3 linked regions of the Ovis aries genome follow. The protein of the gene in region 1 purifies or fractionates together with the protein of each later gene. This does not show direct contact. Links are inferred from orthologs where the notes say so. Each region holds a gene or a part of one and is shown on either strand. Other genes may lie near its edges. The genes, in order: MMS19, PRIM2 and PRIM1.

Region 1 (3,646 bases):
AAAGTGGACTCCGAGATTCTGAGTGCCAAGCTGGATTCTCTGCAGACTCTGGTGAGTGATTCTTCTGTTTTGAGGACCCAGCTGTCTTTAGACAATTTAGCAATGCTACAGGATTATGGACTGATTCTTAGAGAGCCGGGGAGCTGTTCCCTGGGCGTCAGGAGAGGGATACCCAGGGTCTCAGCCTGTAGGTTGACCTACAGCCCGCAGCTGCGTTTTGCCCTGTTCTGTAGTAACAGAGTGGCAGCTGAGGAAAGGCTGACCAGGGCTCCCTCTTCATGCTTGTTTTCATCAGTTGGGGCGAGATCCTGCTTTTCAGTGATCTGGGTAGGATGGTTATGAAACCCTGCTGGTTTTACTGCTGAGAGCCGCCTCTTTCAGGTGCCATTATGCTGAGGGGGCTGCACGTCCCAGGAAGCCTAAGAGTATAGACTGCCGTTAACCTCTGCTTTCCCTGGCAGAATGCTTGCTGTGCCGTGTACGGACAGAAAGAACTAAAGGACTTCCTTCCCAGCCTCTGGGCTTCTATCCGCAGAGAGGTGAGTGTCACTTAGATAAACTGACTACTCTTAACTCCTAGTTGTCAGGTCAGGCATGAGGGGAGATAACACACCCTGTCCTTTTCCCTCTGTTGCTGTGCCTGGTTATTCAGCAGGAGAGCCAAGGGGCATACTTTAGTTGAATGAAATGGGTAGGGCCAGCTGCTTCCTGATGACATGATCAGTCTCCCATAGTGCCCACTTCCTGTCTTTCCTTGGTAAAGGGCATAGGTCACTCTGAGTAGAGGGGGAGAGGAACAGACTTGGGGAAAGGGATCCCAACAACCACCACTCAAGGTCGGTATTCAGTTTCTCAAAAAGTACGTGGGGACGTCCCTGGCGATCCAGTGATTAGGACTCCATGCTCTCAGTGCAGGGGGCATGGGTTCAGTCCCTCATCGGGAAACATCACCCACATGCTGTGCAGCATAATCAGAATTGAAAAGGAAAAAAAAGAACTATGTGTATCAATATCCTAGCGGTACTAAGGACCTAGTGAGAATGCATCAGTTGAGATGAAATTCATGTGAGGGGTTAATTTCCATTGTTGTGTCCTAAAGGTTCTCACCACCCTCTCCCCAAAAGGAAATAGGCAGCAGGTGGGTAGGGTCTCACCTGGTGCAGGCTCACCTCAGTAGCCATGGGATCCCTCCCTGACAGGTGTTCCAGACGGCAAGTGAGCGGGTAGAGGCCGAGGGCCTGGCGGCCCTCAACTCCCTGACTGCGTGTTTGTCTCGCTCTGTGCTGAGGGCCGATGCTGAGGACCTCCTTGACTCCTTCCTTAGCAACATTCTACAGGGTAATGGGGCATGGCAGCTAGAAAGGGGAGAGCACACAACAGAGGGAAATTCCTTAAGGCCAGTGACCTTTCACGAGTGCCCCCAAGTTCAGTGATTTGCATACTGGAGCCCTGCTTTGAATTGAAAGAAATTTAAGTGATAACTGCTAGTCCTGGGGCTGAGCCTCCAGCTTCTATGACCTGCAGGGGAACCGGGCAGCATTCAGCCTACTCCCCAGGTCTGTGATGTGCTGCCTTTCTAGACTGCAGGCACCATCTGTGTGAACCGGACATGAAACTGGTGTGGCCTAGCGCCAAACTGCTGCAGGCGGCTGCAGGTGCATCTGCCCGGGCCTGCGACCACATCACCAGCAACGTGCTGCCTCTGCTGCTGGAACAGTTCCACAAGCACAGCCAGGTAAGGAGGCAGAATCTCTTTAGGAAGTGATGGGACCCTGGGCTAGCATGGCGCTCTCATAGAGAAAGCTATGTTGTGCTTGGGCCTAGATATAGCAGATCTTGGGTTTTGCTCCCATTAGCTGCTGCTGGTTCCCTTGTTCACTCTCTTCTTCACACTCTTACGTACAACGATAATTCTCCCCACTTCCATAGTAGCAAGACTGAAATCCATTAAAAGGTAGTCTTTGACCCCCATAACCCCTTAAAACGTTACAGAGCAACCAGCGGAGGACAATCCTTGAAATGATCCTGGGTTTCCTGAAGCTGCAGCAGAAATGGAGCTATGAAGACAAGGGTGAGGCTGCCTTCTAGATGTGCTGTCCTGGGGGTGCTGAGCGCTGCAGCCCTGTAAATGAGGGCAGGCCGGGAGTGCTATAGAGAAGGAGCCTAGAACAGCCGACCTGTTGTTCTCAAGTTGTAGCACAAGAGAACACTTAAGAAATGAGCCCTGTTCATTTTTTTTCCTAGTGTACTTCCTGGATATCCAATGGATTAAATTCTTTAAATCTGTCCCAGCAGTTCCCTGGTCCAGTGGTTAGGATTCCATGCTTCCTCTGCAGGGGGCATTGGTTTGATGCCTGGTTGGGGAACTAAGATCCCATGTTCCATGTTGCACAGCCAAAAAAAAAAAATCTGCCCCTAGTTATCTTTGTATCGGTGCTGAATGAGGTTTCCCTCTAACCTGGACTCTGTTTCTCCCTAGATGAAAGACCTCTGAGTGGCTTCAAGGACCAGCTGTGCTCACTGATGTTCATGGCCCTGGCAGACCCCAACACCCAGCTTCAGCTTGTTGGCATTCGCACACTCACAGTGTTGGGTGCTCAGCCAGGTACACTTAAGGGAAAGAGAAAAGATCGGAGCTTTTGGTCCCTTTCCTGTGGTTTTCTGTCTTAAATAAAGAGCAGTCTTTATTCCCTGGTTCTCACAATTCTGTATGATTTGGGATTTCTAATAGGATTTTGGGAAGGATGGTGGTGGCTGCTGGGGAAGAAAGATGAGGTTTATGTCTCCTTCTAATACAGATCTCCTGTCTTCTGGGGATTTGGAGCTAGCAGTGGGTCACCTGTACAGACTGAGCTTCCTGGAGGAGGATTCCCAGAGTTGGTGAGAATATAAGACAGCAAGATAGAGCCAGCTATTCCAGGCCGCTGTGCTCCTGACCCTTGGCTTTCCCAGAGGACATGGAGTCTGTGCTTGGCTCTGGCTGCTAACTGGTTGGAGCGATTGTTGTGGGAATGTTCTCTTTTGGGGGGCATTAAGAAGCCCTGTCCAACTTAGTGGTATAGGTACTCGAATCCTGCTTTTTTAGAAAGGTGGTCTCAGAAGCCCACGCTCCTGAATCTGCCGAATGGGAGGCCTAGGCAAGAGAGCCACGGAGCCAGCTCAGCTAATGCTCACCTGCCCTGTGCCCCAGCAGGGTGGCAGCACTGGAGGCATCAGGAAGCCTGGCCACTCTCTACCCCGTGGCCTTCAGCAGCCACCTAGTGCCCAAGCTTGCTGAGGATCTGTGTTCAGGTACGTGTCTCTGAGCTTCTGTGGCTTGCTCCTTCCCAGGGAAGTTGGTGGGGCGGGGGTGGAGGGGCTTCCTGCATGCTTGCCATCACACAGTGAAATCTGATCTCCTGGGTTGCTTTTCAGAGGAGTCAGATTTGGCTAGAGGGGATGGGCCCACCAGGTGCTCCCAACATCCACGCTGTCTGCAAGCCTTATCAGCTGTATCCACACATCCCAGCATCGTCAAGGAGACGCTGCCTCTTCTGCTGCAGCATCTGTGCCAGATGAACAGAGGTGACTACAGGAAACAGTCACTGAGGAGCTGGGCTGGAGAGGGAGCTGCAGTCAGCTTTGGAGTTGATGTGTCTAAAACAGT
Region 2 (4,379 bases), on another chromosome or scaffold:
CTTACTCTGTAGGAAAATTTGAGCTTCCGAAGCTCAGCCTCCAGCTTACTCTGATACTGTTCAGTTCCCTTCATGTAGCTCACACCAAGATTCTCAACTGTTTTTAGCACTAGAAAAAATTTGAAAAACAGAAGAAAGGTGGGGGGAAATGTATAAATGCAAGGTAATCTTAAAAAACTAAATCTAAGACAAATCTATGGATAGCAATTCCATAATTACTTTTTATAACAATACTTAAGCTTCATTTTCTGCAAGCACATTACATGTTATATATGTTTATAAGAGAATAACCTCCAACCATATGCAGAAAATAACCACATCCCACAGCATAACCTCATACCAGGGATTCTCAACTGGAAGGGAGAGAGGGATGGGGACAATCATGATGTACTGAGCATCACTGCTGAGGGATGCACAAGTGTGTCAGCGTGCGCATCCAGCCCTCGTGCTGAGCCGGTTGTGAGGCGGGTGCTTCACCAACTCAGCACAGACTCTTCGGAAGATAGCCAGCCCCTTCCTGATGAAGCAGAGAAGAAGACACAGCAGTAAAGCAGCAAACAAGCCACTCTGACTAGATGCTTCGCTCTGTCCAAAGGCTCCTGAAGCCCCTGTCAACTCTTCCTCGGATGAATTCTTCTTCCATTGGTGAGAAAAGAGAGATTAATTTGAGAATGAAAAACTTCTGAAATGAATCCTGAGGCCATGTCCAGCAGGGACTCCGTATTATGGTCTCCCAAACCAAACTCATTCTCTGCCCCTCAATCCTGCTCCTCTTCCTGCCACCCACCTCTAACAGCAGCATTTCTACCCACGAGATCAGCCACCCTGGAACTTCAGCCCTCCTCACCTGATCCCCTGTTCCTCACACCCAAGCAGTCATCAAACCCTGTCACTTACACCTCCTTGGTATCCCTTCCATGTCTCCCTTCCTGTCCCTGCCTCACCATCTCACCTCCAGGGCCAAACTGAAGGGACCCTTTTCAACCACTTAACCTCTATGAGGCATCGCAGAACCCATGCTAAGCTTCCCAGAACCCATTCTCCCTGCCCTTTACTCTTTTATTCAGCAAACAGATAATACAGGTACTCTGTACTAGCAATTCTCACCCAGCTCTTCTAAGAATGACTAACAGTATCTCACTTCTACTTCTGATCTCCCCATCAGGATATGCTTTGGAACATAAACTCTGCAGGCAGTGCTATTGTTGCAGTTGACACCGAACTTCTTTCTTTCTTCCACCAACACAGAGAAGACAAGCAGGCTCAAGAAAATCGCTACATCCTTCTTACACTTATCACAGCATTCAGTTCAGTTCAGTCGCTCAGTCGTGTCCGACTCTTGCGACCCCATGAATCACAGCACGCCCTCGCAGCGCGCCAGGCCTCCCTGGCCATCACCAACTCCCGGAGTTCACTCAAACTCACGTCCATCGAGTCGGTGATGCCATCACAGCATTAGCGTGGTACAAAACACCCTTGGTTACCCACAGCTCTCCACCCACCCTGAACTTGCCACCTTTCCCTCCAGTGTTTCACGCTCTCTGGTGCTTCCAACTCTTCCTTCAGACCATTAGCTCAGCTTGCAAAAACCGCTCCCTTCCTCTCTATTGAGAAACTGCTACTCGTGCTTCAAGATCCAGGTCACATTTCAACTTTTCTTAAGAAGTTTCACTTAATCAGATTAGGTCAATCATTCCCATCTGTTTCAATAACACCTCTACTAGAGCACTTAAAATACTAAACTATAATTACTGCTTTGGACATCTGTCTCCATGTATTAGAATACAGCTTCAACAAAGATGACAATTTCATTACTCAGCTCAAAATCCCTACCGCCTAGAATAAAGTGGCACTCAATAAATATGCACAGTACATGGAAAAAATGAATGAACAGCAAAATCTCAACGAAAAACCTGAGCAAATATTAAAGAAGGAAATAAATTACTCTAATTTATCTCTACAAGGTATAAGTGAGGTTCTCAGGAATACAAAAATTCAAATTCAAATCACTCACATTTAACTCTATCGATAGCCAACGTTTCAAATTCTGTCAAAGATACGTTTCCAGAAGGTGGCTGCAAGTAAAACTGAAGGCTATGTGGGTAGCAAGCATTCCTCTGGTCATCTGCCAACCTCAGTTTCCTCCGTTTTCCTCCAGAAAACTCCATCTTGTTACCCTGGAAGCAAGCACAAAAAACGGTGGGAAATGGAGTTAAAAACAAAAAATAACTCCACACACAAAGGAAAACATTCTGCCTGGCAACTGATTCTGAAGAGCACGCACAACATGTTGAGTCGTGTCCCTGTCTTCCAGACCTTCGACAACACCGCTGGAACCGCGGTACACAGGCGGTGGGGAGAGGTGAGCCCTGCGGAGACGCGGGCAGCGGTCGTGACTTCCCGCAACGTCCACAGCAGGGGACGCGGGCGGTTCTCCAGGCGTCTGCGCGCTCCGCCTTGAAGGCTCTGAGCTCTCCAGGGTCAGGCTGAGACTGCCCGAGGGCTGCGACCCCGAACTCGGAGGAAAGCGCGGGAGCTTCAGGCTAGGAACGCGACTCGGTGGGCTTCTTCCCTGACAACCCCTGAAAACTGACGGCTGTCTCCGAGGCGCCGCACGTCGGAGCTCTTCTCCGGAGCGTCCAGCGGCGCCGAGTGACACGCCGCCTCCGCGGTCCCTCAGCCAACGCGGTCTGTCAGCCCCGGCACCCGCCTCCGCCTAGACAAGCAACCAGGACGGACTCGCGCCCCCCGCGCCCGCCGCTCTCCCCATTCTCCAGGCTCGCACACCTCAACCCCAGGGTTACTGTTCTTCGCAAACCCCGGCGGCTCCTCTCACCTGCAACTACACCAAACACAGATAAACACGACAACAGCTTTCCTCAGGTGGCGGGAGAGTTCGAACGGGACCGGAAGCGGAAATGGCTGGACCGCGGAGCCCGCCCTCTCCCCCAAGCCCGCCCAGCCCAGGCTTGCGCATGCTCAGTGGGGCCCTCTGGGTGGGGCGGTCTCTGGATTTCTGTCGTAGGTATTGCACTATGTATCGTGGCCGTGATAAAGCGCTGGATTAAAGATCCAGTCTCTAGGGGTCTGGAAAAGGCAGTGCACCCCACTCCAGTACTCTTGCCTGGGGAATCCCATGGACGGAGGGGCCTGGTAGACTTCAGTCCATGGGGTCGCTAAGAGTCGGACACGACTTCACTTTCATGCTTTGGAGAAGGAAATGGCAACCCACTCCAGTGTTCTTGCCTGGAGAATCCCAGGGACGGGGGAGCCTGGTGGGCTGCCGTCTATAGGGTCGCACAGAGTCGGACATGACTGAAGCGACTTGGCAGCAGCGGCTGTAGGGGTCGGGGTTCGAATCCCACCGCTGCCAGATGATTTTGGGCTTCCCTTGTGGCTCAGCTGGTAAAGAATCCGCCTGCAATGCAGGATACTAGGGTTCGATCCCTGGGTCGAGAAGGTCCACGGAGAAGGGATAAGCTTCTCACTCCAGTGTTCTGGCCTGGAGAATCCCATGGCCTGTGTAGTCCGTGGGTTCGCAAAGAGTCGCACACGACGGAGCGACTGTCACTCTCACTGCTGCACTACGTGTGCGTGGGTCTGAGCTGTCGGCGCCGGGTCAGCACCGGCTCCAGACTGGGACCCTGGGTGATAATCTCAGAGAGCCCGGCGAGCGGGAGGCCCGGCTCACCGCTCACAGAGGCGGCGGCTAGGCGGCCTGCGTACCGCGGGTCAGCCCGCTTTTCTCCTGGTCGGCGAGCCCCTTCCGCACTCTCGGTGCGCGGCGAGGGTCCGCAGGGGGACCTCGGTCCAGCCGGGACGCACGCCTTGCGCGTGCGCACTCAGGAACGCTCGGCGTCTGCGGAAGGAGACCGCGGGGCGCCGGACGGTGACCGGCGAGGCCGCGGGAGGCGCGGGAGGCGCGGGAGGCGACGGCCCCCACTGTGCGCGGCAGCGTTTCAGAACTGAGGCCGCCAGGTGGCGGGTCTCGCTCACAAAAGAGGCCTCTAGAAGTCCCTGTCAAGGTAGGAGGGGAGGAGCCGTCAAGACGTTCAAGGTTTCGGAAATGCAGACTGAGCTGAAACAGTGTCAAGCTTCAGAGCATCTGCCTAGCCTGGGCCAAACAGGGGTTGACCCTGACCTTGTACCAGAACGTGTTCTGAGGGACTTACATGTCAGTTCATTGTATTGCCATAACCCATTTAAAAGGCTCATTTGAAAAGACCCTGATGCTGGGAAAGATTGAAGGCGGGAGGAGAAGGGGACGACAGAGGTTGGGTGGCATCACCGACTCGATGGACATGAGTTTGAGCAAGCTCCGGGAGCTGGTGATGGACAGAGAGGCCTGGTATTCTGCAGTCCATGGGGTCACAAAGAGT
Region 3 (3,646 bases), on another chromosome or scaffold:
CTAAAAGGTTAAATACTTAGAAAAGTGTCTGTCACATATTCAGTACTCCCACATTGCCTAGTTTTCTTTAATAGTCTACAATGACTCTGTAGTATATACATTTATATAGCCCCTTTTCAAATCTGCCAGTTATGTGTTTTTAGTTTATTTTGGTAACAAGCTTAATGTTTCTTAATGTTTCTCTTAATATTCTAAAGCTTCAGTGAGTATTCCCCTTATTTAATATTCAAGATTTGAGTAACTAATTACATTCACTCGTAAGTATACATTTTTATTATATCTTTTTCCCATTAAATGGCTATAGTCTTTTCACTCTGCCTTCTACCCGTAACTCTCAATTTCCTTAATTATTTTGTTAGTCACCTGCCATTCTTTAAATTCATTATCTCATTTTTCAGATATGAATTTTATCCTCATGTCCCAGATGTGGATTTTGTAAAAGGGTAATATGTCATTTATATTATTTCCAAAGATGCTCAACACATAGGTGTCTGTTTTGATTTCAGCAAATTAAAGTAATGAAGTAAACTACTTCCATCTATTTTGTGTTCCATCTTCAGGACTCACTAAATTTGAGATTGTTCCGTACGTACATATTGGAGGATATAGGGAAGAGAAAAACAGAAATCAAAATGGATATAAGAGCAACTAGGTAATAGCTCAGCAGTCTTTCACATCTATTTTTTGGTGTTTTTAGAGAAATAAAAGGCACTAATATGAAAGTACTTTTTTTTAAGACCCAATTTTATTCTGTTTATGTATTTTTTGAAACTTTTTGGCCACATGGCATGTGGGATCTTAGTTCCCTAGGCAGGAAGAGAATCATACCCCCTGCATCGGAAGTGTGGAGTCTTAACCATTGGACCTCCAGGGAAGTCCCGAAAGTACTTTTATATTTCTAAATAAATATTCTTAACAGATTAGTGTAACCCTCTTTCTAAGCCTTAAAGTTTTAGCCAAAAATAACTCATAGGACACAGCCTATAATTATTTGTATTGTACAATATTCAGCTTATAATTTTTTGTTTTTCACAGGTCGCATTTCTGTGCCTATTGACTTACAGAAAGTGGATCAGTTTGATCCATTTACTGTTCCAACCATAAGGTATGTTCCAGATCACTGATCACTCCTTTTTTGTTTGTGACTTGTAAATGTGAAGTAAATTGGATTAGATCCCTTCTGGAGAGGCAGCTTCTCTGAGGCTGTATGATGGTGCCCTTCCAGAAGAGCATTTCCTCGTGAGTTCTACAGAACACAAATTTTTCAGCTACTATTATGCAAAAAAAAAAAGTTCAAATAAGTTTGAGAAGTGTTGACTTAAGCAAAATTTCCTAGTCTTTAATATGCTAACATGCATGGAAAACTCCAGAAAGAGAGTATGATGTTTAGAATATCCCAAATTCATTTGGCCACATTTTTTTCACAGAAAATCTTGTGAGATTCATGTGCTTTCATACACTGGGTAATATTGACCAAGAATCAACTTTTAAATTATCTTCTATTATTTGTAGTTCCATTTGCCATGAGTTGGATGTTATTTCTACTAAAGAAGAAAAAGAGAATGGAGCTGAATCTGATATTAAACACAGAACCAGAGGTAGGTTAGTATATTGAAGTCTCACTTTAACATAATCTTTTTATATTGACGTCTTTCTGTGACTCAGTAATTAATTTGCCTTGGATTCAGACCAGAATGGATCATTATTTATCCTGAAACCAGCTCAGTAGCAAATAATATGATCACAATGTTTCTCTCCTTCATCAGTTGCCCAAATGGTGCTGTTGAATCCAATGTGAGTCTACAGATATTTACAAAATAACATTTAATGCCAGGATCTATACTGAAAGATTAAATTGTCAATTGATTTTGACAGTTGTTTGAATCTCACAGTCTTAGATTCAATAACTATCTACTTAACAACTACCATGTATGCAGTATTTCGTTCTCTACTTATTTTTGTATCCAGATGAGTGTTATGTTAAATATATGTCTAAACTGTAACTGAATTGTATATCCAATAATTTGAAAGAGATGGGAATATAAAACGGCCTGTTCAGTTCAGTTCAGTCGCTCAGTCGTGTCCGACTCTTTGCGACCCCATGAATTGCAGCACGCCAGGCCTCCCTGTTCATCACCATCTCCCTGAGTTAGTGAAAGTCAAATCTTATACCAATACCCAAGAGACACTATAGCAATAGTTCAACACTACTTTCTATGATGAAAATGTCATGCACTGTCCAAATGGTAATCACTAGCCTTTATACATGACTTTTGAGAACTTGAAATGTGAGAAACTGAATTTTTAGCTTCATTTAATTTAAATAGCCTCATGTGACTCGTGACTACTGTAATGGGCAGAACAGATCTCTGATTGATCTTTTTAGTCAAATGTTGCTACCTTGCTTTCAGAATCCAAGCTCAAATGTCACTTCATATATTTCAGCTCTAACATAAACAAGGTACATTCCTCCATCAATATTTATAGAATGATTACAAGCATTCTGTTTAAAATAATGGACAAAAGTCTCTAACAAATAAACTGGAAAATAATAAACTGGAAAAAAAAAGAACTCAGGGAAAATAAACAATGCAAGGAACAGAGGAAACCTTTTTTTAAAAAAACTGATCTCCTCAGAGATTAAGAGAAGACAGTGTATCCATGAAGCAAGACCAGAATGCTATGGGGAAAAAAACATTCAGAATAAGAAAGAGGTCTTAGAAATCAAAAACATAATCGTTAGAATAAAACTTTCACTGGAAGGGCTGGAAAAGAAAAGAGGAGACTTCCTAGAAAGTAGTGAAAAAAAAAAAAAAAAGACAAGTTAGTTATGTTTTTTAAGGAGGAAAAAGATAAAATTAAAGACTGATTCAGGAGGTCTAATATCTGACAGAAAAAGAACAAATAAAATAGGGAGGGAAAAAATTGCCAAAATTATATATGAAAACATCCCAGAAATGAGCCCTTTGTTAAAAGGGCTCAGCATAATGAGAATGATATGCCTACACCAAGGCACATCGTTTTGAAATTTAACAGAATTAAGAGAAGATCTTAAGAGCTTTCAGACCCCTTCCTACAGTCCCTCCCCACAAAAAAGCCATGGACCTAGGAAGAATGGCCTTAAATTTCTAAGTAAAAATGGAAGTATTCATTTTTAGAAGTAAGTGCTAGAAAAGAAAAAAGTAGTTGCCATTCAAGAAGATGGAAAGGTTAGCAGGGAGCTGCTATTTTTTTCCACAAAAACCTGTTAATACTATTTTACTTTTTTTTTTTTTAGCAAATTACTTTTAACACAACTTTTTAAATTTAATAATAAAAGAATAATAAATTTAATAGTATCTCTTTGTGGACATCTTTTTATTTTATTCAGAGGTTTTAAGAAAGCAAGTTTTGGCTCCCTATAAGGAGAAGCTTTATAATAAATATCTGTTCGGAAATAAACTGCTCTTTCAAGTATTCATACAGGCTATTAGCCGTGAGTAAGTCAGGGATGCTTTAGATGAGGTGGGAGGCTGGCATAGGTGATATATATAAGTTCTTATTATTTCTTTAATTTCTATGATTCTAAACTTTTGTCCATTTTCATATTAGTACCATTTGTTCCTTCCTTTCTGCTTCCCAAATACTGGTATGTTCTCTACCTTCC

The links.
Region 2: the proteins of MMS19 (region 1) and PRIM2 purify together in Homo sapiens (affinity purification with western blotting; 5 studies listed by BioGRID and IntAct, with this or other methods). This does not show direct contact. The link is inferred for Ovis aries from reciprocal best matches to the Homo sapiens genes MMS19 and PRIM2.
Region 3: the proteins of MMS19 (region 1) and PRIM1 purify together in Homo sapiens (affinity purification with western blotting; 3 studies listed by BioGRID and IntAct, with this or other methods). This does not show direct contact. The link is inferred for Ovis aries from reciprocal best matches to the Homo sapiens genes MMS19 and PRIM1.

What each region holds. Positions count from the first base shown.
Region 1 is NC_056075.1:18,509,025-18,512,670, reverse strand, and holds part of MMS19 (MMS19 nucleotide excision repair protein homolog), read left to right. Parts: coding exon 1-51; intron 52-461; coding exon 462-539; intron 540-1,199; coding exon 1,200-1,338; intron 1,339-1,580; coding exon 1,581-1,735; intron 1,736-1,992; coding exon 1,993-2,071; intron 2,072-2,479; coding exon 2,480-2,605; intron 2,606-2,798; coding exon 2,799-2,880; intron 2,881-3,190; coding exon 3,191-3,291; intron 3,292-3,414; coding exon 3,415-3,564; intron 3,565-3,646. UniProt on the Homo sapiens protein: Key component of the cytosolic iron-sulfur protein assembly (CIA) complex, a multiprotein complex that mediates the incorporation of iron-sulfur cluster into apoproteins specifically involved in DNA metabolism and genomic integrity.
Region 2 is NC_056073.1:3,042,163-3,046,541, forward strand, and holds the start of PRIM2 (DNA primase large subunit), read right to left. Parts: upstream 2,921-4,379; 5' UTR 2,788-2,920; intron 2,178-2,787; 5' UTR 2,169-2,177; coding exon 2,015-2,168; intron 110-2,014; coding exon 6-109; intron 1-5. UniProt on the Homo sapiens protein: Regulatory subunit of the DNA primase complex and component of the DNA polymerase alpha complex (also known as the alpha DNA polymerase-primase complex) which play an essential role in the initiation of DNA synthesis.
Region 3 is NC_056056.1:162,928,590-162,932,235, forward strand, and holds part of PRIM1 (DNA primase small subunit), read left to right. Parts: intron 1-1,035; coding exon 1,036-1,105; intron 1,106-1,512; coding exon 1,513-1,598; intron 1,599-3,646. UniProt on the Homo sapiens protein: Catalytic subunit of the DNA primase complex and component of the DNA polymerase alpha complex (also known as the alpha DNA polymerase-primase complex - primosome/replisome) which play an essential role in the initiation of DNA synthesis.